Linked DNA regions of Arabidopsis thaliana. The protein of the gene in region 1 interacts with the protein of each later gene in a biochemical or structural test. Each region holds a gene or a part of one and is shown in the gene's direction. Other genes may lie near its edges.

Evidence for each region. Proteins that work in one complex are often made in the same cells at the same time.
Region 2: the proteins of ZPR3 (region 1) and HB-8 form a complex in vitro, tested with the Arabidopsis thaliana proteins (one study listed by BioGRID).
Region 3: the proteins of ZPR3 (region 1) and PHB form a complex in vitro, tested with the Arabidopsis thaliana proteins (one study listed by BioGRID).

Annotation. Positions count from the first base shown.
Region 1 is NC_003074.8:19,556,435-19,562,534, reverse strand, and holds ZPR3 (binding protein), read left to right. Parts: upstream 1-3,211; 5' UTR 3,212-3,623; intron 3,624-4,427; 5' UTR 4,428-4,440; coding exon 4,441-4,644; 3' UTR 4,645-5,019; downstream 5,020-6,100. Other genes in the region: PAP20 (Purple acid phosphatases superfamily protein), read left to right, coding at 1-73, 239-569, 651-739, 827-1,010. UniProt on the Arabidopsis thaliana protein: Competitive inhibitor of the HD-ZIPIII transcription factors in shoot apical meristem (SAM) development. Acts by forming non-functional heterodimers. Part of a negative feedback loop. Involved in SAM development and lateral organ patterning.
Region 2 is NC_003075.7:15,861,507-15,871,225, reverse strand, and holds HB-8 (homeobox-leucine zipper protein ATHB-8), read left to right. Parts: upstream 1-2,575; 5' UTR 2,576-2,949; intron 2,950-3,366; 5' UTR 3,367-3,403; coding exon 3,404-3,606; intron 3,607-3,692; coding exon 3,693-3,852; intron 3,853-3,935; coding exon 3,936-4,039; intron 4,040-4,171; coding exon 4,172-4,262; intron 4,263-4,344; coding exon 4,345-4,440; intron 4,441-4,530; coding exon 4,531-4,644; intron 4,645-4,746; coding exon 4,747-4,830; intron 4,831-4,906; coding exon 4,907-5,062; intron 5,063-5,235; coding exon 5,236-5,310; intron 5,311-5,394; coding exon 5,395-5,501; intron 5,502-5,586; coding exon 5,587-5,782; intron 5,783-5,865; coding exon 5,866-6,051; intron 6,052-6,151; coding exon 6,152-6,232; intron 6,233-6,506; coding exon 6,507-6,641; intron 6,642-6,721; coding exon 6,722-7,132; intron 7,133-7,223; coding exon 7,224-7,379; intron 7,380-7,492; coding exon 7,493-7,639; 3' UTR 7,640-7,887; downstream 7,888-9,719. Other genes in the region: AT4G32870 (Polyketide cyclase/dehydrase and lipid transport superfamily protein), read right to left, coding at 8,585-9,058. UniProt on the Arabidopsis thaliana protein: Probable transcription factor involved in the regulation of vascular development. May promote differentiation of precambial and cambial cells.
Region 3 is NC_003071.7:14,637,491-14,646,508, reverse strand, and holds PHB (Homeobox-leucine zipper family protein / lipid-binding START domain-containing protein), read left to right. Parts: upstream 1-2,153; 5' UTR 2,154-2,515; coding exon 2,516-2,748; intron 2,749-3,310; coding exon 3,311-3,470; intron 3,471-3,561; coding exon 3,562-3,677; intron 3,678-3,762; coding exon 3,763-3,853; intron 3,854-3,969; coding exon 3,970-4,065; intron 4,066-4,146; coding exon 4,147-4,344; intron 4,345-4,418; coding exon 4,419-4,574; intron 4,575-4,658; coding exon 4,659-4,733; intron 4,734-4,821; coding exon 4,822-4,928; intron 4,929-5,013; coding exon 5,014-5,203; intron 5,204-5,294; coding exon 5,295-5,483; intron 5,484-5,574; coding exon 5,575-5,655; intron 5,656-5,737; coding exon 5,738-5,878; intron 5,879-5,969; coding exon 5,970-6,283; intron 6,284-6,381; coding exon 6,382-6,496; intron 6,497-6,581; coding exon 6,582-6,731; intron 6,732-6,814; coding exon 6,815-6,961; 3' UTR 6,962-7,186; downstream 7,187-9,018. UniProt on the Arabidopsis thaliana protein: Probable transcription factor involved in the determination of adaxial-abaxial polarity in ovule primordium. Specifies adaxial leaf fates.

The DNA of each region.
Region 1 (6,100 bases):
TCACTCATGGCAACCACGAGCTCGAAAAAATACCTATCTTACACAGTAACCCATTCACCGCCTATAACAAGAGGTAAGTTATTTCGATTTGTCTAGCCAACAACCAAACCTACTTTTCTTTTTAAGCTCCTTATTTATTGTATTAATTTTGGGTTTATCAGTTTTATTATGGTCTACTTTTTATTATTAAAAGAACTTTGTTATGCTAATTTTAGATATTTTTGTATACACGTTACAGGTGGCGCATGCCATTTGAAGAGAGTGGCTCGAGCTCGAATTTGTACTATTCTTTCAACGTTTATGGAGTCCACATTATAATGTTGGGGTCATACACAGATTTTGAGCCTGGCTCGGAGCAGTACCAATGGTTAGAAAATAATCTCAAGAAAATCGACCGTAAGACCACACCGTGGGTTGTGGCTGTGGTGCATGCGCCTTGGTACAACTCCAACGAAGCTCACCAAGGAGAGAAAGAGAGTGTGGAGATGAAAGAATCCATGGAAACTCTTCTTTACAAAGCTCGTGTCGATTTGGTTTTTGCAGGTCACGTTCATGCTTACGAGCGTTTTGTAAGTCTAAAGGGTTTCATTAAAAAACTGCATTGATTTTTTTTTATATATATAGAGCTAATTTGTGTGTTTATTTGACAGAGTCGAGTGTACCAAGATAAGTTCGACAAATGTGGTCCGGTTTATATTAACATCGGAGATGGTGGGAATCTAGAAGGCCTTGCTACCAAGTAAGATCTTCGTTAAATGAGATTTTTTATAAACAAAATTTGAAAATGAAACTAATTAAATGTTAATGTTTTTGATAATCATCATAGGTATAGAGATCCAAATCCCGAAATATCATTGTTTAGAGAAGCAAGTTTCGGGCATGGTCAATTGGTGGTCGAGAATGCGACTCATGCACGTTGGGAATGGCACAGGAACGACGATGATGTGTCGGTTGAAAAGGATTCGGTTTGGTTAACCAGTCTCTTAGCCGATTCATCTTGTAAGATTTAGACCCCCTCGGTTCGTATTCTTGAATGTGGTTAGGACTTGTTCCTCATCATTGATTCTATAAGATTATATGTTAAATGTCGATGTAGAATCGTAGATACTAAAAGTACTTATATATAGTATTGAGTATTGACAACAATATCAAAACAGGACACAAATGTTTTGATACCAAGTCAATTAAGAATTATATCTCATTTATATTTTAAGTTGTTATATTTTCTTTGTTGCTTTTCAACTTTTCAAATCCTTATCACTTTTTGCATATTGCTAATTCATATCAAACTAGATTTGCTTGTTGAATCGTGAGCGTCGATATTTATCCATATTTAAATGAAAATTACTTCTGTAGTAGTCCATCCAAACATCTGTAGTAGTCCTTTATTTAAAAGTTAAGATGTGCAATGATAATGTTTGCATGCAGTCTAATATGAACACACTTTACACCTTATGAATTCTGAATCGTCTGGCGCAAACATCTAACCACCAAAAACCTAAAAAAACAATCAGAAGAACGAAGAATGGAGAATAGAACAGAGAATCATTTATGTGAGATTTGATTTACCTAACTCTTCCGCCACCACCGACGCAGCAGATGATGCGACATCAATCGCCGGTAAATCAATCTCGGGTATAGCAATCGAACCACTGCGCACATCGCCTTCGAGGTGGATGTGGACTCCTTCAAATAAAGAGATTTCAGTACTTTTCTTGTGCAAAAGAGGCATGCTCCATCATACAACATGAATGTATACATACAGTAGTACGTAGCAAAATGAAATATACGTCATATAAACACAAACTTATATAGACTTTTAATCAGTTAAATTACGGTATATTTTTTTAATTCGTTTGTGTTTATATTATAAAGTTCAAAAAAGATTAGGTTAGATTAACAAAGGAGAAAATAACTAGAAAATTCCAATTAATTAATAAAAGCGAAATATAGTTTCTCTGAATGGTAATCTAATATTCTATACCAAACATTTACTACATTAATAGGGGTTACCAAAACCGAATATTTGAATATTCTTAGGTTTTTGAAATTTACATGGTAAAGAGACAAAGTTTTCAACCTTTTTGGGGTGTGAAAATTGGTCCGACTGGGTTATGATTAACCAAAATTAATCCTAGAACCAACTATATTTATAAATTAAAGTTTCATTTTATAAATAAAAATCAACACCAAACCGAATTGTCAAACTTAGACCAAAGCAATGAGGGGTAGAAACGGCATTGCATAGGCCAGCAAGAAATGAAGCTGCTCACACCTTTAAAATCATTGCCTTTGGTGTAAGCAAGTGTACCCACTCTTTAGTTCCATTTCAAGACACACCTACTTAATACTAATTGTGTTTCAGTTTTGTTTAACTTCTACAATCAGCATATTTACAAAAAACACAATTTCTCACATTTATTCCGTGAAAGAAGGGTTAAAAGAAGCCGTACAAGATTTATATACACAAGCCAAAGTAGTTTTAAATAAACGTGAAATTGTAGTCATCTTCTTTTTGGGGGTTAAGTCATGGGCAAACGAACGAGTTTTATTCAAAGGCATGTGAAGTTACGAAAAAAAGAGAAGTCATAAATACATCCAAAAACAACCACCTCACTGTTTATGATGTTTCACGTTCTACAACACTTTTGATCCATGATTATTTTTTGTAGGTTTTACGGCTCCAAAGTCCAAACACTCTTCTTCTTCATTATTTCTTTCTTTTTTTCTTCTCCCACCATAATTATATCAAATCTTGAATGCTGAGACAATATAAGAGGACAAAAAAATGCATTTTCAAATTGTGGTATACTATGATTTTCATACAAAGAAAAAAGTAACAAATAGTTTAACACACAAAGGAAACTATTTGTATCCGAAATAATAATCTAAAACATAATAATGGTGGAGTGTAATATTTGAACTAAACCAAGATTGAGCTAACCGGGACATGAGATGGGGAAAGAGAGCATTTACAAAATGGTCCAAAACGGTTGAAATAGAATCATGAAGGATGATGGTTCGAACCAATCTTTACCATCATTGCGAATCTTTAGAGGTCGATGGCCTCTTCTACTATAGCCCCTCTCATTAGTCCTACACAAATGACAATATTACCCTCCTCTGTACTACTTCCTTCGTAATGACGTAAATACCCTTACTCTAGTTCTTTTAACCGAATCTTCTGTTTAGAGGACGAATACGATGAAGAGCCAAAGGAAGTGCTAGGGGATCTTTCGGAAATTACGAAAATATCCCTGAAGATCAATTTCGAAAGAAGAGCAAGCAAGAAAACTCCTTTTTTTTTTCTTCTCTCTCTCTAACTTCTTTCTCTTTAATAAATCATCATCATTCACATGACGCAATATGCACAAATCTCCTCTCTCTCTCTCTCTTCTTGCGGCCGCCATCTATGCAGAAACACAACACAATGCATGATTGTTGTGTCAGGAGAGAGAAGGTTCTTTCTCTTTCTCTTTAGCTTTTGGGGATCTATATAACAGACAGTGTCTCACTTTGTTCTCTTTGTCCCTCTACCTTCTCTACACACACAAACTAGCGTCTCTCTTCTCTCTCTCAATCTTTCTTCGTTATCTCTGCTTCTCAACACTCCTTCCCAAAAGGTATAACCTCTATTCTCCTTCTCTCTCTCTCACTCTCTTACTGTTCTAGAAGCTTAACGTGAGTTTTCTCGACATGCTCTGTTTCTGTTTCTTGCTCTGTTATCTATCGCTTTTGCGTTCATACGTTAAGATAATAGTTATGTAGTAACGTCACACGTACAACTAACGTGAAGACAAACCCTTAATTTCTCTCTTTTTCTATGTTAAAACTTTTTCATCTTTTAAAATATTCCTCAATGATGGAAAGTTTTTAATCTTTATCTTTTTCTTTGAGGCAACCGAAATAAATAAAAAAAATTGTTTGATTTTTCTTTTTAATAGTCTGTATTGCTACGATCACCATCTTTGTTTTGTTGCTTACTCTGTTTTTTTCTAGCGTTTCAAATATAATCATTACTCTCTCTGTCCATAGAGGTTAAAACATTTATAATTACTGCATATATATCATCATGATTACTTGTTTTTATCTCTTTTCTTCAATTTCTTTCTCTTTATTAGCTTTATCTTTTTATCCTCCATACAAATTTATAATCATGTTCTTCTTCTCTCTTTGATCATTGATTTCATAAAAAGAAGAAAAAGAAATTCACATGAAAACGAAATAAATGCGACAAATGATTTTTCCTATAGCTAATGTAATTCACATCCGACGTGTGAAGCTGCACAACCCATGTGTGATGTAATGATTTAACATGAACAATAATAATCATAACACAAGCTTTGGTTTTATTGATATTATTACTCTCTTTTTCTCATTTATTTTTCAAAATTCGTAATAATACTTTTGTTTTGTTTTACTTGTAGCAAGAAAGCAGAAATGGAGAGGCTAAACTCGAAGCTGTTTGTTGAAAACTGTTACATAATGAAAGAGAACGAGAGACTAAGGAAGAAAGCTGAGCTTCTGAATCAAGAGAACCAACAGCTTTTGTTTCAACTCAAACAGAAACTCTCCAAAACTAAGAACTCTAACAATGGATCAAACAATGACAACAAATCAAGCTCTGCTTCTGGACAATCTTGATTTAAATCAAGAATACGTTAGAGCAAGAGATCTCGAATCCGTACGTAGGAGAAGATTAAAAGAAGACCCAACCTTTTGGAAGTATTTTATTTTGTTTGGTGTATTATAGGAAGATAAGTAGTATCGAGCACTGTAGTAGTTATTATGAAAAGAAGATTCTGTTTTATTACAAGAAGACAGTGTCTCTCTGTTAGTCTTCTCAGTCATATTTTTACTTTTGTTTCTATTTTCTATGTTAATTAAAGATCCTCTGGTGTGGGGTTGGGGACTTTAGGATATGGTTGATTCTTGGACTAACATTTTGTACCTTTGCTCCATTTATCAAATATTGTCAAGTGCATATCAATCAACTAATGTATCGTATATAACATGGGGACAAGTTATTCGATTTTTATAATCATATACAAAACGCATTCAATATTGATATATCATCTCATACAAAAACAAAAGTGACCCATTTTGTCCATGATATTTTCCGATCGAGTAAGACAGTAAGTGGAAACTGAATCGTTGAATTGACACTAATTATTCATCAGGATTAGCAAACACTTCTTAAGTATAAATAGGTCTATGTAATTTTCAAGTAGACTAGAGTAGAGGAAATGAGGAAGAAAAACAATATTAATAGTAGTGTTTGTGTATATATAGTCTACATGTGTTGTAGCAAGTTCAATGAAAGCTTTATCCTAACATTCTAAATTGAAATGATTTAATTATTATGCCATGTGCATCTGAACAATTTAATTATTATGGTTCAAACCAGTTGTTGATAATATTGGTCATGTAAATCATTTCCTTCAACAACAGTAATACTGGATAAAACCTCAGAATGGATAATATCAGAATACTATAGCTTTAAATAGACCAAAATTGATGCTACGTCAAATTTACACACACTCTTGGGTTTGAATATGAATTATAAACTCCAGTCACTCTCTAAATGTGTATATCTATTTTTTTTTTTTTTTTGTTATGATGGATGAATTGAGCATAAAATGTTAACTAATTAATTAAATTTTTAAAAACTAAATAATTTCCCAATATTCGTTTGGAATATATATTTTCCATTTAGAAAATAAAAGAAAAAGGAGGGCAGAAGGTGTCATGACATGAGATTCAAGCGGCTCTGTCCAGAGAGATGAGACAAGGGGCTTTTCATTCGGATTCTATGTGACGCCATCACACACACCCCTACAAGTTATTATTATATAGTATTAGTCAAAAAACTATTCATTTTCGTTTGAAAAACTAAACTACGAGTTCTCTGCTCTTTTATTTGACTTCTATTTTTCCTACAACTACTTTCTAAACATCAAGTCATTTCACATTTTTTTTTTCTTTTTTTTTTTCAATTCTTCACATTTTCAATAAAAACTTGAATATTTTCAAATTGGATTTAAAATAATTTGTTTCCTAAACATTTTATAATGACAAATCAAATTCTTCATATGAGGTC
Region 2 (9,719 bases), on another chromosome or scaffold:
TATTTTTTTTTTTGTATACTCTTTAAGAAAGGTGTTGTTTAAATAATACATTCTTAACTATAATTGCTTAAATTATATTTACACATGTATACATTATACATACGCCCGTTGTTCTTTATAGAAAGCTAACGGTCCTTTGGCACCGTTGACATATAATCACATGCCGATCGAAGATAAAAGAAAAGACCCATTAGAGAATTATGATGAGTGACAACTAAGTATGTGCTTTATTCTAGATTTTAGTGAACAGCCTAAAATATACTATTGAAAGTATGTAGCGTTTTAAACTAATTAATCAAACCATAAATAAATGAACAAAAATTGTTTATTTTAAATGCTAAGTTTCGTAACAAAATAATGTTACTTATGAAAGAGACTTCAACTTGATATTTTAATTGAATATTCCCTAAGATTGCATGAAGAGATGAAAGTTCTTGAGGTAATCAATCACATATAAGATTTTTTGTAAAGAAAGAAAAGAAGAAGATTCATCAGCTTACTAAAACGGTAGGAAATAGATTCACAGATATTATATTCCTCATCATCACATTATAGTCTTGAATAGATGTCTCTATCAAAAATATACTTATTAATTATAGTGAAAAGTCGATAATTTAATTTGTTATATGATAAAAACAAAAGAAAAAACACTTGGAGAAATTTATAAGTGAGGAACGCTCAATATTTTACATTATTAATTTTCACTCTTTTCTTGCATATTTATTCTAGCTTTAACTAATAAATACATAGTGTACTTGAACATTTTGTTATAAGATAGTGAATAGTAGAAACTATCTTCAAACTCTGCATAAAAAATTAACAAACATTTTTTTAATATATTCAAACACAGCTGATAGTAGTATATTTGAGTTTTTTGTTTTTTTGTTTTTGTTTTTGTAAAACCTGTTTGTTAATCACGACAAAACTACATCACATTCCCACAAACGCTAAAATAAAAAATAAGACAAGGTAATCGTCATATTTGAGCTATGATATATATATATATATGTTTTTTTTTTTTTACTTTTTTTTTTTATAAAGGCTAACTATTTGTTTTTTGTTTTCAAATACTACTAGCATATATAAGATCTTAATTTTTTGTGTGTTAAATATTATATTTTGAGTTTCAACTGTTATTAGATCAACAGTATCTATCTCTTTTTTTAACACAGTATCTATCCTTACGCAGAATATATCCTCAAAATTTGGAACCAGAGATGTGAATAATGAGTAATATAAGAAAATCGTGCATGGGCTTGAATATAGTGTGCCTTATCACAGGGGACAATGTCGATAAATTTTGCATGCATGTCTCATCTGGTTCTAAAAATTTCATTATAAATATCACGACTGTAACAATGATCATATTATGAAAAATTTCTAAGTTTATATCAGGAATGATGATTGACGATAATGATGATAACTACATGGGATTTTATCTGCGTTACAAGAAATCAAGGACGCATGCAACTTTTTCATCATTCTGTCCTTTCTTCAACTACCATTTGAATTTTCATTTATTATAAGGTATGTTCTTTAAATTATATACCTTCCTTTGTCCCGAAATTAATTAAAAATGGGACTGGATATGTACTTCCACTTCTTAATTTCATATGTTATTTTTAAAAATGGTCGAAAAATGTATAACAATACGCATGCAAAATTTTCTTTGCGCCAAAGTATTAAAATGGCCTGCAACTGTACGGATAAACCAATTTTCAAATGATAATATTTGTATATAATGTTTCTGTATACAGGGGCGGACCCACGTTAGTCTTGGGTGGGGCATGTGCCCGATACTCAATTCTATAAATCTTATATAAGTTTGCATTATGTAATTAAAAATGTATTTAGTTTAGTGGTTTTTTACTTAATGGTGCCCCACATTAACCCAAGTTTAAACCTTGCTGATGTCTTTTTATTGATTTTTTATAACTGTACCCATATAAGATTATTTCCTGGATTAGCCATCTGTATATTAATAAATCGTTTCCTGTGGTTGTGCGATGCATAACCGTCCAAGAAAGTCGTATATTTTTAATACATGTGTTAAAATAGGTTTTAAGTGAGAATTTTTTTAACTTGTGGAGTGTGGAGTGTAGAGTGTAGATGTACATTACCTATATATTTATCCAATTCTGTGTAATAAAGATGTTGGGGCGGCGCCTGCTGCCACATACACATTGGATTAGAAGGGCAAAAGAAGTTCTAATAAGGAGCAAACTAATAGCCATGAAAATTATGAATTTACCATACTGAAAACAAAGGAATTAAGGTTTTGAATTCAATACTTGTTTTGTTATATATGATGTTGATGTGACGTATTTGTGCGTTTCTCATAGTGACTTTGAAAGGAAGGCTAAACGAATTTGCAGTAAAAGTAACAGAAGAAACACTTCAAAATTGAATTAAAATGAAGAAAAAAAAGAATGAGAAAAAGTGAGAAGTGGTGGTTGTCTGGTATTAAGGGTACTCACTTCTCTCCTTTTCAACACAGCCCGACACACATGTCTCTTTTTTTTTTTTTCATACACACATTTCTATTTATTAGTTTCCTAAAATAAAAATTATAAAACAAAAAGCACACCCACCCATAAACTAAAGCTTTTCTCTCTCATCCCACTACAAATCTTATATACAAGTTTCGCAAATCTTGACTCTTCACGTTGTGGATCTATCTAGAGAGATAAGTAAGAGAGAGGAAGAGTAAGGAAGAAAGTGGTTGAACTGTAGCAGAGTCTGAGGTTTGAATCTTGTAGTTCCCATTGAAGCATGCTTCACCGTTTTTTCCGAAGGAAGTTACTCATCCACTGAGAGAGAAAGAGGGATTTGGAGATAGAGAAAGAAATTTCTCAGATGGGTTTGTGAGAATTCACAGCAAGAGCAAGAAACTCCTATATCTTCCTTTGCTTCCAGAGACCAGCGTGATCAAAAACAAATATTTTTACGGTATCTATAAGAATCCTCCCCTCTTTTTCTTTTTCCTTAAAGAGAATTTTTTTGCATCTTTCTTAGGTTCCAATAAATATGCAGAAGAAAGTTAAAATTTTTGTACCGTCGTTGAACCTTTTAAAGACCTAATTAAGAGACAAGATCATACTAAGCTCATAAATCACTTTCTATTTACACATATATAGGTTATTAATCTTAAACAAGATCTATATTTTATCTTTGAGATTTTTCAAGATTTCATCAAGTGTCACGTTCATTCATTGATTACATTTCAAATTTCACTAAGAAAGTTAAAACACGGATCTTTTTGAGAATATCAAGAAAGTTCTTTGAAATATACCAAAAGAAATCAGTACTTTCAAGAATACATAACTTTTTAGGTTGTGTTAAATAATATTTGCTTTTGTAATAAAGGAACAAAATTAAATAGAGAGATCGGAGAGGATCAAAGATGGGAGGAGGAAGCAATAATAGTCACAATATGGACAACGGGAAGTACGTGAGGTACACTCCTGAACAAGTGGAAGCTCTGGAGAGACTCTACAATGACTGTCCTAAACCGAGCTCTATGCGCCGCCAACAGCTAATCCGCGAATGTCCTATCCTCTCCAACATCGAGCCTAAACAGATAAAAGTCTGGTTCCAGAACCGCAGGTTCAATTTCTTCTTAATTCTCATCATTTCTTGACACCCAAGAAACTTTCTAGGTTTATAACTCTTGGCGCTGTGAGTTTATACAGGTGTAGAGAAAAACAGCGAAAAGAGGCGTCACGACTTCAAGCTGTGAATAGGAAGCTAACGGCAATGAACAAGCTTTTGATGGAAGAGAATGACCGCTTGCAAAAGCAAGTGTCTCACTTGGTTTATGAGAACAGCTATTTTCGCCAACATCCTCAAAACGTAGATAGATTAATTTATTTGATTCATTCACATTAATTAGTTGACACATAAGTTAAGGAATTGAAATAGTCTGTCGCTCTCAGCAGGGGAATTTGGCTACCACAGATACTAGCTGTGAGTCAGTGGTGACGAGTGGTCAACACCACTTGACCCCTCAACATCAGCCTCGTGATGCTAGTCCTGCTGGGTAAGTTAGAACCAACAATTCTTGGCTTTAAATAACATGACACACTTTTGAGTCAGTTTTTGTTCTCTGCCACCATTTAAAGCTTCTATATATCTTTGTTAAATCAATGAATCTCTTTGAGTGTATCTCCAGATTATTGTCCATTGCGGATGAAACTTTAACAGAGTTCATTTCCAAGGCGACTGGAACCGCTGTCGAGTGGGTCCAAATGCCTGGGATGAAGGTAATTCTCATAAGTCTATCTCGTCTTCTTTTATCTATGATTCAATCATTTTCACTTCCTTACTGACTAATTTCATCTGCAGCCTGGTCCGGATTCCATAGGAATCGTTGCTATTTCTCATGGATGCACGGGAATCGCTGCTCGTGCTTGCGGCCTTGTGGGTCTTGATCCCACAAGGGTAAGTACTATTCTCACTTCTTTCTAATAGGTACATCCTCATAGATCAACCAAGAACATAAATCACATTTCTGTTTTGTTTTTTTCGCAGGTCGCGGAGATCCTAAAGGATAAGCCTTGTTGGTTGCGTGATTGCAGATCTCTGGATATAGTTAACGTACTATCCACTGCAAATGGTGGAACCCTTGAACTAATCTACATGCAGGTATTGATGATCAAGAACCCTAAAGATGATTTTATCTTCAGCACAAACCAAATAATCGAATCACACAAAACTAAATTTTCCTCTCTTTCTTTCTCATGAAAGCTTTATGCGCCGACAACACTGGCACCAGCTCGTGACTTCTGGATGCTACGTTACACATCTGTAATGGAAGACGGGAGCCTTGTGGTAATTATCCTCTTAACATCGATGCTTTGTTTCTCTTTTGATCATTCGATGATACTAATTTAAGATGTTATTGCAGATATGCGAACGATCACTGAACAATACACAAAACGGGCCAAGTATGCCTCCGTCTCCTCATTTCGTTAGGGCAGAGATTTTACCAAGTGGTTACCTCATTAGACCTTGCGAAGGAGGTGGATCCATTCTTCACATTGTCGATCATTTCGATCTTGAGGTAGCCTCACAAGTTTTATCATTTTTTTCTTCTTACACAAGAAACCTAATTCTTGGTCTAAAACTGAAGTGTTTCCTCTGTTTTCACAATTCGTTCTTTATCTCTAGTCATTATTATATACTTTTTGGTGCCAATGATATATATTCAAATAACCTGGTTGAAATCGTTTGTAGCCATGGAGTGTGCCAGAAGTTCTTCGTTCTCTCTATGAGTCCTCCACTTTACTCGCCCAAAGAACTACAATGGCCGTAAGATTCCTAATTAAAGACACATTGTTTTTCATGTATTTGAAAAGAAAAAAACTGTGTGTAAATAACTTATGGTGTTTGCAGGCTCTGCGCTATTTGAGGCAAATATCTCAAGAGATTTCACAACCTAACGTAACAGGTTGGGGAAGAAGACCAGCGGCTCTTAGAGCACTTAGCCAAAGGCTTAGCAAGTAATTAGAGCTTCTCACACTTCAAAAACACTTTTAAAAAAACATTACGTCTTCTAAAACCTAAAATTGTTTTTGTTAATGTCAGAGGATTCAACGAAGCAGTGAATGGGTTCAGCGATGAAGGATGGTCCATCCTAGAGAGTGATGGTATCGATGATGTCACTCTTCTTGTGAACTCCTCTCCCACAAAGATGATGATGACTTCAAGTCTCCCATTTGCCAATGGCTACACTTCTATGCCTAGCGCGGTCTTATGTGCCAAAGCTTCCATGTTATTACAAGTAATTAAGCTCATCAAATCTCAAAGTGAGATTCTCAATTTACTCCCTTTCATCCATCACTAATATTATTTTTGTTTGTGTAGAATGTTCCACCTTCGATTCTGCTGCGGTTCTTGAGGGAACATAGACAAGAATGGGCAGACAATAGCATCGATGCATATTCGGCCGCAGCCATCAAAGCAGGCCCTTGTAGCTTACCAATCCCTCGCCCAGGGAGCTTTGGTGGTCAAGTCATTCTTCCTCTAGCTCACACTATAGAGAATGAAGAGGCAAGTACTCTACTAAGAGATTCTCAAAGTCAAATCAATGTAACTACGTTTTTGAATAAACTAAGTAAACTAATGCCCTTTTATGTCCTCTGTTTTCCAGTTTATGGAAGTCATTAAGCTTGAGAGCTTGGGGCACTACCAAGAAGACATGATGATGCCTGCTGATATCTTCCTTCTGCAAGTAAGACCTAATTTTCATTTGTGCCAACATGTGAAAAATAAATAGAACAATTTTTTGACATCTGTTTTGAAATGTGTTTAAAATCGCAAAGATTGTGTGGTCTCATTTGAAAAACACACACACATTTCTAAAGGCAAACACCAATTCAAGATTATATCTATTTTGATAATTTTTGCTCATTGATAGACTCTATAGCGAGACGTTATTAGTCTTGTTGCAACTACTCAATTTTATGATTCTAATATATATAATTTTGTACTGTTTGATGATATAGATGTGCAGTGGGGTGGATGAGAACGCAGTTGAATCATGCGCAGAGCTTATATTTGCACCAATCGACGCATCTTTCTCTGATGATGCACCAATCATTCCTTCCGGTTTCCGCATCATTCCTCTAGATTCCAAATCAGTACGTTCAATTCATATAACAATCAAAATCATTAACTTTAGTTGAATCAAATACTAATTTATAAATCGAATTATGTATAGGAGGGGTTGAGTCCTAACCGAACGCTAGACCTAGCGTCGGCTCTAGACGTAGGGAGCAGAACAGCCGGAGATTCATGTGGAAGCAGAGGAAACTCAAAGTCCGTTATGACTATAGCGTTTCAGCTAGCTTTTGAGATGCATATGCAAGAGAATGTAGCCTCAATGGCTAGACAGTATGTAAGAAGTGTGATCGCGTCGGTTCAACGGGTCGCACTTGCTCTCTCTCCTTCTTCTCATCAGCTAAGTGGCTTGCGTCCTCCACCCGCGTCACCCGAAGCTCACACTCTCGCTCGCTGGATCTCTCACTCTTATAGATGTTACCTTGGCGTTGATCTTCTCAAACCTCATGGAACTGATCTTCTCAAGTCTCTTTGGCACCATCCTGACGCTGTCATGTGTTGCTCACTCAAGGTAATTTTCTTACTTCTACTCACTCAAGAACATCGATTATGCTCATACATAATCTATAACAAGGAAAGTGAACTGGTTTTGATCATTTCAGGCCTTATCTCCGGTATTCACATTTGCGAACCAAGCTGGTTTAGACATGCTGGAGACGACGTTGGTGGCACTTCAAGATATCACTCTCGACAAGATCTTCGACAACAACAACGGGAAGAAGACTTTATCCTCCGAATTCCCTCAGATCATGCAACAGGTACGTTAAACCGAGTCATGCATTTAGTTAGCTTAAGTTAGAAAAAAAGAAAAGAAATTGTGTAACGGTATTGATGAAATCATAAATACTAATTAGCAATAATAAATGTGAAGGGGTTTATGTGTATGGATGGAGGAATATGCATGTCGAGCATGGGAAGAGCAGTAACGTACGAGAAGGCTGTTGGGTGGAAAGTGTTGAACGACGACGAAGATCCTCATTGTATCTGCTTCATGTTCCTCAACTGGTCTTTTATATGACCTTTTTTCCATGTTTTTCCTTAATTATCAAAACACAGACCTTTTTTTCCGGAGATATATTTATATATACTCTTACTCTTAGTTAATTTGTATTTAGTTATATCATCTCTAATTTTGAAAGAATTTACTTACTTTTATGGTCTTTGCAACACTCTAGTCTCTAGTTTGTGTTAGCCTGTTGTTGATAAGGCAAGTTACGTTTGGAAATTCATTTTTTCTGGTATGGAAATTCAATATTTTTTCTAAAATTGGAACATTTACTTCAAATCCACTAGTCTTGCCAAGCCTAAAGGCTGTTAGAAATAACAAGTGAAAAGCCCAAGACAATTTGGTTCGTGACGACAATGGTTTTTTGTGTATCGTCCTAAGAGTAACAAGTGAAAAGCCCAAGACAGTTCAAGTGAATTCTTCTTTGAAACTTTTACATAATCCTCTAAACACATTGTTCATGTTCATGGTTTGAAAAGTTGTTAATATATTGATGTCAAAAAAAGGAAAAAAAAGTTGTTAAAGATGACGGCCCAAACAAAGGCCAAATAAGCCCGACAAGGAAGAAGACTGACGTATGGCAATATCTGCCACGTGACCGAAGAATCCATTCCCGAGACTCACATAATAAATTCTTAAAGCTATTTGATTCGTATAACGCTTGTAATTAATGCTGTCGTTTCCAATACATTTTTAGAGAACAATTCTTCGTGGTTCACATCCTTTTAGAATATTTTTATGGTTGATATTCTTTTAGAATATATTTTAAATTTGTCAAATACTTTACTTTTATTGTTTGCAAATCAGCTGCAACGGACGAAAAAAATCGAAGCTAAAATGTAATGGCAGAATAATATAACGTACGAATCCAATTTTATTTAATTTCAACTAACATGAAACCCACCAACTAGTCTTACACGTACGGTAAAAACACACAAACGAAGAAAGAAAAAGATATTACAGATTGAGTTCCATTTTGTTGGCCATATGTTGAAGGCAAAAGTCAACGTATGATTCGAGGTCTTCCTTCTTCCAACCATCAACAGGATCGGCAACAAACGACCACTCGATTCGAGACACTTGATCTTCACCGTCCACTGGCGTTACTTGGACTGTCGCCACGTAAGATCTAAACCCTACGTTATTCTCGAGGATCTCATAGCTCAAACACCGTCCAATGGGATCGATCTTGACCAGCTTCTCTTTAGCCCACCTGCTTCCCTCTTCCTTGGTTTTGGTGGTGGAGCAGTATCGGATCAGACCCGGTACACCATCGGTTCCTTGGACTCGGTAACACGTATCGACTGATGGGAACCACTCTTGGACGTTGCAGAAGTCAGAAAAAACCGACCAAACTTTCTCAGCCGTGACACCGTTGACTTGAGCGACTTTCTTACCCTCCCACTTAAACGACACCGTTTCCGTTCCCATTTGGCCTACGATTTTGCTTCGATGCAATGTTTGCTAGGAAGAAGAACCTATTTATATGCTCAAAGCAAGCGAGCGTGTGGTTTGATATAATTACAATTTTACCCTCGTTCTTGTTCTCACGTCTTGACATTTGTCGACGTGTAAGTTCAACTGATCTTTATCGCTTTATTGGACAAAATGTCAAAACCAAATCTATTCCATTTGTCTAACTCTCTGGATATAGGACTGTCTCTTTATATCTATGATTACCTAAATTGATACTTCTTTTTTTTTTTTTTTTTTTGTCAAAGAAATTTATACTTCTTTTAAAATGTTGAAATTCAACTTCTTTTGGATACACTTCTAAATATTGCATAAAAGAATCATACTGTATTAAATTAGATCTGCTTACATGTTAATAGTTTAACTTTTTTACTAATCAGGAAATCACACTTGTTATGAAATGGTAGGTAACATATATTTGGTATTTACAAGTACCTCAATCTAGCAATATTCTAATACTTAACAAAGATAACCAATATTTTAGAAATCAACAAAGTACTACTATCCAATAAACCATACAAGCCCAAATACAATGCATGGCCCAAACTTCTTTGTGAAATCCACAACGCAACCCAAAATGAAAGGCAATATAATTTGTTTCTCTATTTTTTTTATGGTT
Region 3 (9,018 bases), on another chromosome or scaffold:
GTTGAGACTTGAGAGCATATATCTCCACCATAAATATTCAGTCGTAAGTCCAAATATTTTCTTGAAAACAACATTTGAAATGTCATAATAACAAGTACCATTTGGAATTCTATTACAAAAGAGTTAATCCATATAAGTCATATAGATTTTGATTGGTAAATTGGTAACACGATAAAAAAAATGAATGAAAACCTACTTTCACAATCTTTTACTTGTCAGATAATTTTGAAAACTTTTTTCTACAACTTCTTTTTTCATTTGCTTTGATTATGCGATGATATTAACAAATGAAGGATGCGACTAAACCTTCACAACAATGAAAACCAAAAAAAAATCCATTTACCATAGTTCAAACTTCAAACACGGTATATAAATGGTGAACATGCAGGAGTTAATAATCCCTCGTGATGAGGAAAACAAAACTCAAAACTCAAAAGAAAAATGTTTTGAGTGGCGCGAGAAGAAACCTCGTAATATTGTGTAGTTAAATAATGTTAAGTGGTGTTTTATGAAAAGAATACAACTTGAAAAGCATTTATTTTGCGTGTATTCGATGGAGAAAAGTATTTAGTAGTTGTAGCCTTTTATTGAAATAAAAATGGTTAATTGGGTGTCGAAGAAAAGGATATAGGGAGCTACGTGTGGTGGTATCTGCCATGTAGAAAATCGAAGCGCATGCACAAAGTTGGACTCATGATGAGACTTCACATGACCACCTTCATTTATTCCTCCTACTCCTCTCTCTCTCTATGTACAGTATTAGTATTAAATTACGTATATAAAAAAAAAAAAAAAATATTACGTATATATAAAAAAAAAAAAATATTACGTATTTATTTTTTGTCCTAGCGTATAGACACGTAGACCGTAGTTATAAGAAGTTAGTCGTTTGTCCGAGCATTGATTTTGTACAACTCTTACAGAACCTAAAACAGACTGTACTTACCAATGCCAAACTTGTCTGTCTTCTCTTTCTATTTATTTCTTGACTCAAATTTGAATCGAATATATTCATAATCTGACCAGAAAAAACCAAAACTCTAATAAACAAAAAAGCTTTGAAACTAACAAAGCGAAGCCAAATTTCATAAAAGAAAGTTTAAACACACAAAAAGTCCTAATTTGAGGCATTTTTTGACAGGACTAATAACTTTATATTTCAAAAAAATAAAGTCCCTTTCACGCTTCTCACGCGCTCGGTGAGTGACATTCCCACACCATTTTCCTCATGCATGCAACATTTATCATCATCATTATCATAAACCTAATGCATACAAAGATGTACGTAGATATACACATGATGATATATTGTACATGCAACATACATCAGCATCAGCATATGATGAACATCAGAAAGAAGGAAAGAGAAAGAAACTTATGTGATGTCCTTCTCACAGAGCTAAAGACAACAGCATTTTTTTTTCCCTAAGTTAGCAAAATACCCATTTCGTCAAATATCCGTTTCTTCTGACAACAATTTCTTCGAATAAAACATAACAATATTAAAAAGAAAAGGTAAAGAAAAAAACAAAGATTGGCCTGTCTTCTCTGCCTCCATATTAAGTTAGTTATTTTATATGTATTTTTATCATTACTGTTGTGGGTAGAGTAAAAAAAACAGATGGGTTTTGCAGAGACTGTTTTGCGTGTGTTGGCTTTTCTCCTTTATTGTCTTTCCCCTTTTTTATCCTGCACCTTATTTTAATTATTTCTTAGCTAATTTTTTATTGCTACAAATACTAGAATAATTTTATTTTATTTTTGCATCACAAGTTATAACCAGAAGAAACTTATGTAGTAATTAGTACACATAAAACTCAATTGCATTTTCTTTTTACATTTTTTTTTTTTTTTTTTTGGACAAATCATTTTCTTTTTACTAAAGTAAATGTTTTTAGTGAACACATTGAGTACAAATATGGACACAAAGTATAAATTATTATGAGATTTTGCAGTAGATATTAATTTATTTTAGCTATGTAAATAAAACCGTAAAAGTAAAAAGCTTTTATCAAATTCAACCCACCTGGCGTTTCAGTTTTCATTTTTTTTTTACCTTTATGCTGTTTTTATGTTCTTGCAAGTCTTTCTCGCGCCACACAAAAGAAAAGTAATTTCTTTTAGAGTTATGTTTTATTTTTTTTGGACCATGTCTTAAAAGGATCTCGAGATTGGCGTCTGAGATAAAGACCTCTACTTTGCTTCCTTTATCTTGCTCCTCTTATCTCTTCGCTTCTCCTTCCTCTCCTCTCTCGCCATTGCCCTCTGGCGTTTTCTGTCTTGAGCTAAAGAAATAACAAATAAACCGAAAAAAATAAAAATAGAAACTTTTTTTTTTGTTTATTTGTTCTTTCTCCAAAACTCCTTTTTTTTCTCACCATTATCTCATGAACGTGAGTGGAGGCTCTCTGAGTAGAGAGAGCCTACCCTTGAAAATAACCTAGGGATTTCTCCAATTTTCAAGCTTTACCCATTCAAAAGAATCGTCCTTTTTTCCTATTTCTGACTTTGAGCTATGATGATGGTCCATTCGATGAGCAGAGATATGATGAACAGAGAGTCGCCGGATAAAGGGTTAGATTCCGGCAAGTATGTGAGGTACACGCCGGAGCAAGTGGAAGCTCTCGAGAGAGTTTACACTGAGTGTCCTAAGCCAAGTTCTCTAAGAAGACAACAACTCATACGTGAATGTCCGATTCTCTCTAACATCGAGCCTAAGCAGATCAAAGTTTGGTTTCAGAACCGCAGGTGAAATTTCATCTTCTTTCCTTATCAAAGTTGTTACCTTTTGTCTGTATTAATTGTTTTCTTACCATTAGATTATCTTTTTGTTTGTATATGAGTTTATGAAGATGTTAAATGTTTTTCTTTCTTTGACTGGTCAGTTGTATTTAAGTTTCCTTGCTGTTCTTATCTGACAAGAATTTTTTGGATCTCAGTGATCATTTTGTTATGAGTTTTAATCGTCTTCTAAATCTCTTTAAAGCAAGAAACTTTGTTTACCATATGCTTTGACGTATCTAGTTGGTTGAATATCTAAATTCACGAAAGTGACATTTAATCAAATTGTCTTTGAATGCGTTTCCAACATTTATTTCTGTCAAAAGCTTAAGATTTTCTGCCAGAAATTATGATATGATAAAGGGGAAAAATTTACATTATCTTTTCTTCTTTATATCATTGGATGTGTTTTATAAAGACAAATGGTGTCTGTCTCTGTTCATCCACTAACATTTCTTCCCATCATCCATGCACATTTGGCTTTTATGTTGGCTTAGTTGGTCTAACGAAGCTTCCTTTTGATTTTTAGATGTCGTGAGAAGCAGAGGAAAGAAGCTGCTCGTCTTCAAACAGTGAACAGAAAACTCAATGCCATGAACAAACTCTTGATGGAAGAGAATGATCGTTTGCAGAAGCAAGTTTCTAACTTGGTCTATGAGAATGGCCACATGAAACATCAACTTCACACTGTAAAGTTCACTTTTCACTATTTTCTGTCTCTAAAACTCAATTCTATGAAGCATTTTGTTTGAAAGTTGTTATCTTTTTTTTGGAATGTAGGCTTCTGGGACGACCACAGACAACAGCTGTGAGTCTGTGGTCGTGAGTGGTCAGCAACATCAACAGCAAAACCCAAATCCTCAGCATCAGCAACGTGATGCTAACAACCCAGCAGGGTGAGCTTTTCTTGTCTGCTCTATAACTCTCTAATGAATTCTGTTTCCCACTCTGTGACAACCTAAATGGTTCTTTTTTGTTTAGACTCCTTTCTATAGCAGAGGAGGCCCTAGCAGAGTTCCTTTCCAAGGCTACAGGAACTGCTGTTGACTGGGTTCAGATGATTGGGATGAAGGTAATACTTTCTGGCCTGAATACTCTTAAAGTTGTATAATCTGATTTCTATTCTTTAGTTGTGTCTGAAGATGAAGTTGTTTATGATTATTTGATGAACCTTCATTGCTGGTGTAGCCTGGTCCGGATTCTATTGGCATAGTCGCTATTTCGCGCAACTGCAGCGGAATTGCAGCACGTGCCTGCGGCCTCGTGAGTTTAGAACCCATGAAGGTAAAGAGTGCGATTTGTTACGTTCTGGCTTGTGTTTATAATCATTAGCTTACGCTAGTCTTGATTTGAAAACAAATATAGGTTGCTGAAATTCTCAAAGATCGTCCATCTTGGCTCCGAGATTGTCGAAGTGTGGATACTCTGAGTGTGATACCTGCTGGAAACGGTGGGACGATCGAGCTTATTTACACGCAGATGTATGCTCCTACGACTTTAGCAGCAGCTCGTGACTTTTGGACGCTGAGATATAGCACATGTTTGGAAGATGGAAGCTATGTGGTGAGTTCTTGAATCTGCTTTTTCTGTTATGTAGTTTCTGTTTTAATACTTTTGTCTTCACTCACTGTCTTCAGGTTTGTGAAAGGTCGCTTACTTCTGCAACTGGTGGCCCCACTGGGCCACCTTCTTCAAACTTTGTGAGAGCTGAAATGAAACCAAGCGGGTTTCTCATCCGTCCTTGCGATGGTGGTGGTTCCATTCTCCACATTGTTGATCATGTTGATCTGGATGTAAGTGACAACTCGAATCGGTTCATAACACTTCAGTTCTCTCTTTATAATATGATCATGACTTTGTTTTTTCGGTTTTGCAAGGCCTGGAGTGTCCCTGAAGTCATGAGGCCTCTCTATGAATCATCGAAGATTCTTGCTCAGAAAATGACTGTTGCTGTAAGTTCAAATACCTTTATCCAAACTGTATATGACCTGAACGACTTGGTATGCTGCAATGTTTCTTAAGTTCGGAGTCTTATTTCAGGCTTTGAGACATGTAAGACAAATTGCACAAGAAACAAGTGGAGAAGTTCAGTATGGTGGAGGGCGCCAACCTGCGGTTTTAAGAACCTTCAGTCAAAGACTCTGTCGGTAAGTATCTACTTTACTTAATAGCTTTATCACCAAGAATTTCTTTTATTCTTATTCTAATTGTTCAATATGGATGAACTTTCAGGGGTTTCAATGATGCTGTTAATGGTTTTGTGGATGATGGATGGTCACCAATGGGTAGCGATGGTGCAGAGGATGTTACTGTAATGATAAACTTGTCCCCTGGGAAGTTTGGTGGGTCTCAGTACGGTAATTCATTCCTTCCAAGCTTTGGTAGTGGCGTGCTTTGTGCCAAGGCATCTATGTTGCTTCAGGTACATGTCTTAAGGATTTGATAATAAAAAAACTAATATTCTGTTTCTGTCTGTTTCTAACTAACTTGCATCTTTTTTTTTTTGTTTGAAGAACGTTCCACCCGCTGTGCTGGTTCGATTCCTTAGAGAACACCGATCTGAATGGGCTGATTATGGCGTGGATGCTTATGCTGCTGCATCGCTCAGAGCAAGTCCTTTTGCTGTTCCTTGTGCTAGAGCTGGGGGGTTCCCAAGTAACCAAGTCATTCTTCCTCTTGCGCAGACAGTTGAACATGAAGAGGTACTTTTATCAAAGAATAACACAGCTTCACTTTCTCCTCTCTCTAAATACGTGTTATAGTCCTGAAACCTTTCTTGGTTACTTGTTTCAGTCACTTGAGGTGGTTAGACTTGAAGGTCACGCTTACTCACCCGAAGACATGGGTTTAGCTCGGGATATGTATTTGCTACAGGTTTGACTTCATACTTTAACTCCAAAGTTTCTATGCTCCTTTGTTCTCTTCATGACATTTTGGATTCTTGATTCTTGTCTAGCTTTGTAGCGGTGTTGATGAAAATGTGGTTGGAGGTTGTGCACAGCTTGTATTTGCCCCTATCGATGAATCATTTGCTGATGATGCACCTTTGCTTCCTTCCGGTTTCCGCATCATACCTCTTGAACAGAAATCTACTCCGGTAACATGTCAAAAAGCCATTTAAGGATCAGTCCCAAATCATTTATTCTTGACGCAATATTCTAAATTTCTAATCCTTCACTGTCATATAGAACGGTGCATCTGCAAACCGTACCCTGGATTTAGCCTCAGCTTTAGAAGGATCCACACGTCAAGCTGGTGAAGCCGACCCAAATGGCTGTAACTTTAGGTCGGTACTAACCATAGCATTCCAGTTCACATTTGATAACCATTCAAGAGACAGTGTTGCTTCAATGGCACGTCAGTACGTGCGAAGCATAGTAGGATCGATTCAGAGGGTTGCTCTAGCCATTGCTCCTCGTCCTGGCTCCAATATCAGTCCAATATCTGTTCCCACTTCCCCTGAAGCTCTCACTCTGGTCCGTTGGATCTCCCGGAGTTACAGGTACTTCATTATCATTAGCCTCTAGGTTTCTGCTTTTGTTTACATGATCTATGGAGTATTTTATCTGAATTTCTCTTCTTTTCTTTTTGGCTTTGTAGCCTTCACACTGGTGCAGATCTCTTTGGATCTGATTCTCAAACCAGTGGTGACACGTTGCTGCATCAACTCTGGAATCACTCTGATGCAATCTTGTGCTGCTCCCTCAAAACAAACGTAAGTAACAAGGCTTCCCATTCAGATTTTGTATTTGTGACTAGAACATGTTCTTGAGATGACTGACATAAATTCTCATCTGTAGGCTTCACCGGTTTTCACATTCGCAAACCAAACCGGTTTAGACATGCTGGAAACGACTCTTGTAGCCCTTCAAGACATAATGCTAGACAAGACCCTTGACGAACCTGGTCGTAAAGCTCTTTGCTCTGAGTTCCCCAAGATCATGCAACAGGTTTTTGTTTTTTCTTGGGAAACATTTTGACATTTTCTTGGAAAAATCATTGTTTGACTTGGAATCTAAATTTTGTTTTACAGGGCTATGCTCATCTGCCGGCAGGAGTATGTGCGTCAAGCATGGGAAGGATGGTATCTTACGAGCAGGCAACGGTGTGGAAAGTTCTTGAAGACGATGAATCAAACCACTGCTTAGCTTTCATGTTCGTGAATTGGTCGTTCGTTTGAAGAATAATAAGAAATAAGAAGACCAGATTTTACTCCATTTTTCCCTTGGTAGGGAGGTTATTTATGTAAGATATTAAAGTTAGGTGCCACTATGCTCCAAAGTCTTTTGAAATTCGAGGACCAATATGTAATATGACGAATGTCTGATCTTGTATGGATTGTTCTTGTTCCTATGTTACGTTATATGGCAAGATTATTATGATAATGTTATCAAGTTTTTTTTCTTGTGCTCGTTTGCTTTCACAAGGTGACTAGTTTCTATTTTCAACTACCTATTTATATGACCATCTATGTCTAGTTTGTCTACTATAGGGGGTTCTTGTTTGACGTGTAGTTTTTTCTTTCCCTGAATGTTTTAGTTATGCTGCTAAAATTTAGCTCTTTACTGAAGTCTCATAGTTTGTAGCCAAAAAAAAAGAAAAAAAAAAAAATATATGAGTTAAAATTTCGTAAATATCTAATTGGACAAAGAAACTATATTAAGTTTTGGAACATCTAACAGGCTAATAATAATGATGTTTCATTTTTATAAAGTAAGAAAGATAGATGAATGAGCTAGCTGGTTACGTTGTGCAATTTTGGAGTATGTATATCAATAATTATAATAAAATAGAAATATATGTATTATTGATAAGATATTATGTTAGATTTGGGTATTATTGTTTTGTATAATGGAGGGTGGTCCAATTTGAATACAGGTTCTAGTTGTGCGAAGCCGTTAATAGCACTGCAAACAAACTTAAAGATTAGATTTGCATGAATCTTCACAATAAATGAATACATCATGCCTATTTATAAATTGATCGTACACTAAAAAAAAAAAAAAAACGTATACTGAAATCGTATCTATCATAAGAAAAGTAAATGATGATGATGCCTCCTACTCTTTAGCTTATAGGCAGAGAAACCTTTTTTTTGTCAATGAAACCTATACACGTTTTTTTCTCTGTAGTTGTCTATTTTAATGAAAATTTTAAATGTTATCGTATTCTACTGAGAAAGCCACCATTTTGGTAAAAGACTGTAGCAGAAAAAAATGGTTAAAAAAAGTTTTTAGAAAAACGGTGGAAGTGACCATTTTGGTAAAACGGTCGCAATAACATTTCCATAATTGTAGGAAATAAGTTTATCAAGTTGCTGCGCGCCTCTCCTTTAGCTTTAGTAAAGATGAATAAATAATTCATAGGATATCGAAAAAACGATACTGCTTTAATAATTAATATTATTGTACTAAACATTTAATCATAATTTTGTTTCTTCTCATAATTTTGTTTCTTCCCGTGTATATGCATCGGGAACAATACATTTCCTTCCCATTTCACTAGAACTTTTGAAGGCACCACCAAGTTTCTGGATTTTGGAAAAACCACTGATGATGGTATATTACATAAGGCAACATCAACTTTGTAGCCTCTTCCCTCCATGGCTCTATCACCATAAGAAAACTTTAAGGTCATGTCTTTGGCTTGCACAATCCATTGACAATAGATTACTATATATGAAGGAGCATTATTAAGCAATAGTATGTTATTGACTTGAATAGTTTGTTTATCTATAAAATATATAATAACAAAAATCAGAAGTGAAAACTATAATATCTAAACTACTCTTCCGTTCCATTTTAAATGATATTTTAATAGTATTATGATATATCATATATTAATGGTATTAAATAAAAATAATAATTATGATATATCATATATTAATGGTATTCTTCCGTTGAGGGAACATAAGTTATGATAAAAAAAAATTAGTTATCGTGTAATCTCCTAGATCCATAACATCATAATTTACCGTAATTTTTATTTATTAATTCCATGAAATTTAGTCTTGATATCAACTCATGTAGCAAGTTACATTTTGATTCTTGAATTAATTTCGGTGTTTAAAGCATGTATGCATGCATTATACGGTCTCGCAGAAGATATTAGATGTGTTCTATCTGCTATGCCTTTAGGTTACTAATCTAAACCAAAAATACCAAATAAGCAAATAAACCACAAAGCAGAATACAAGCAACCAATTGTATAACTAAATTGAACACATCTTTTGACGAC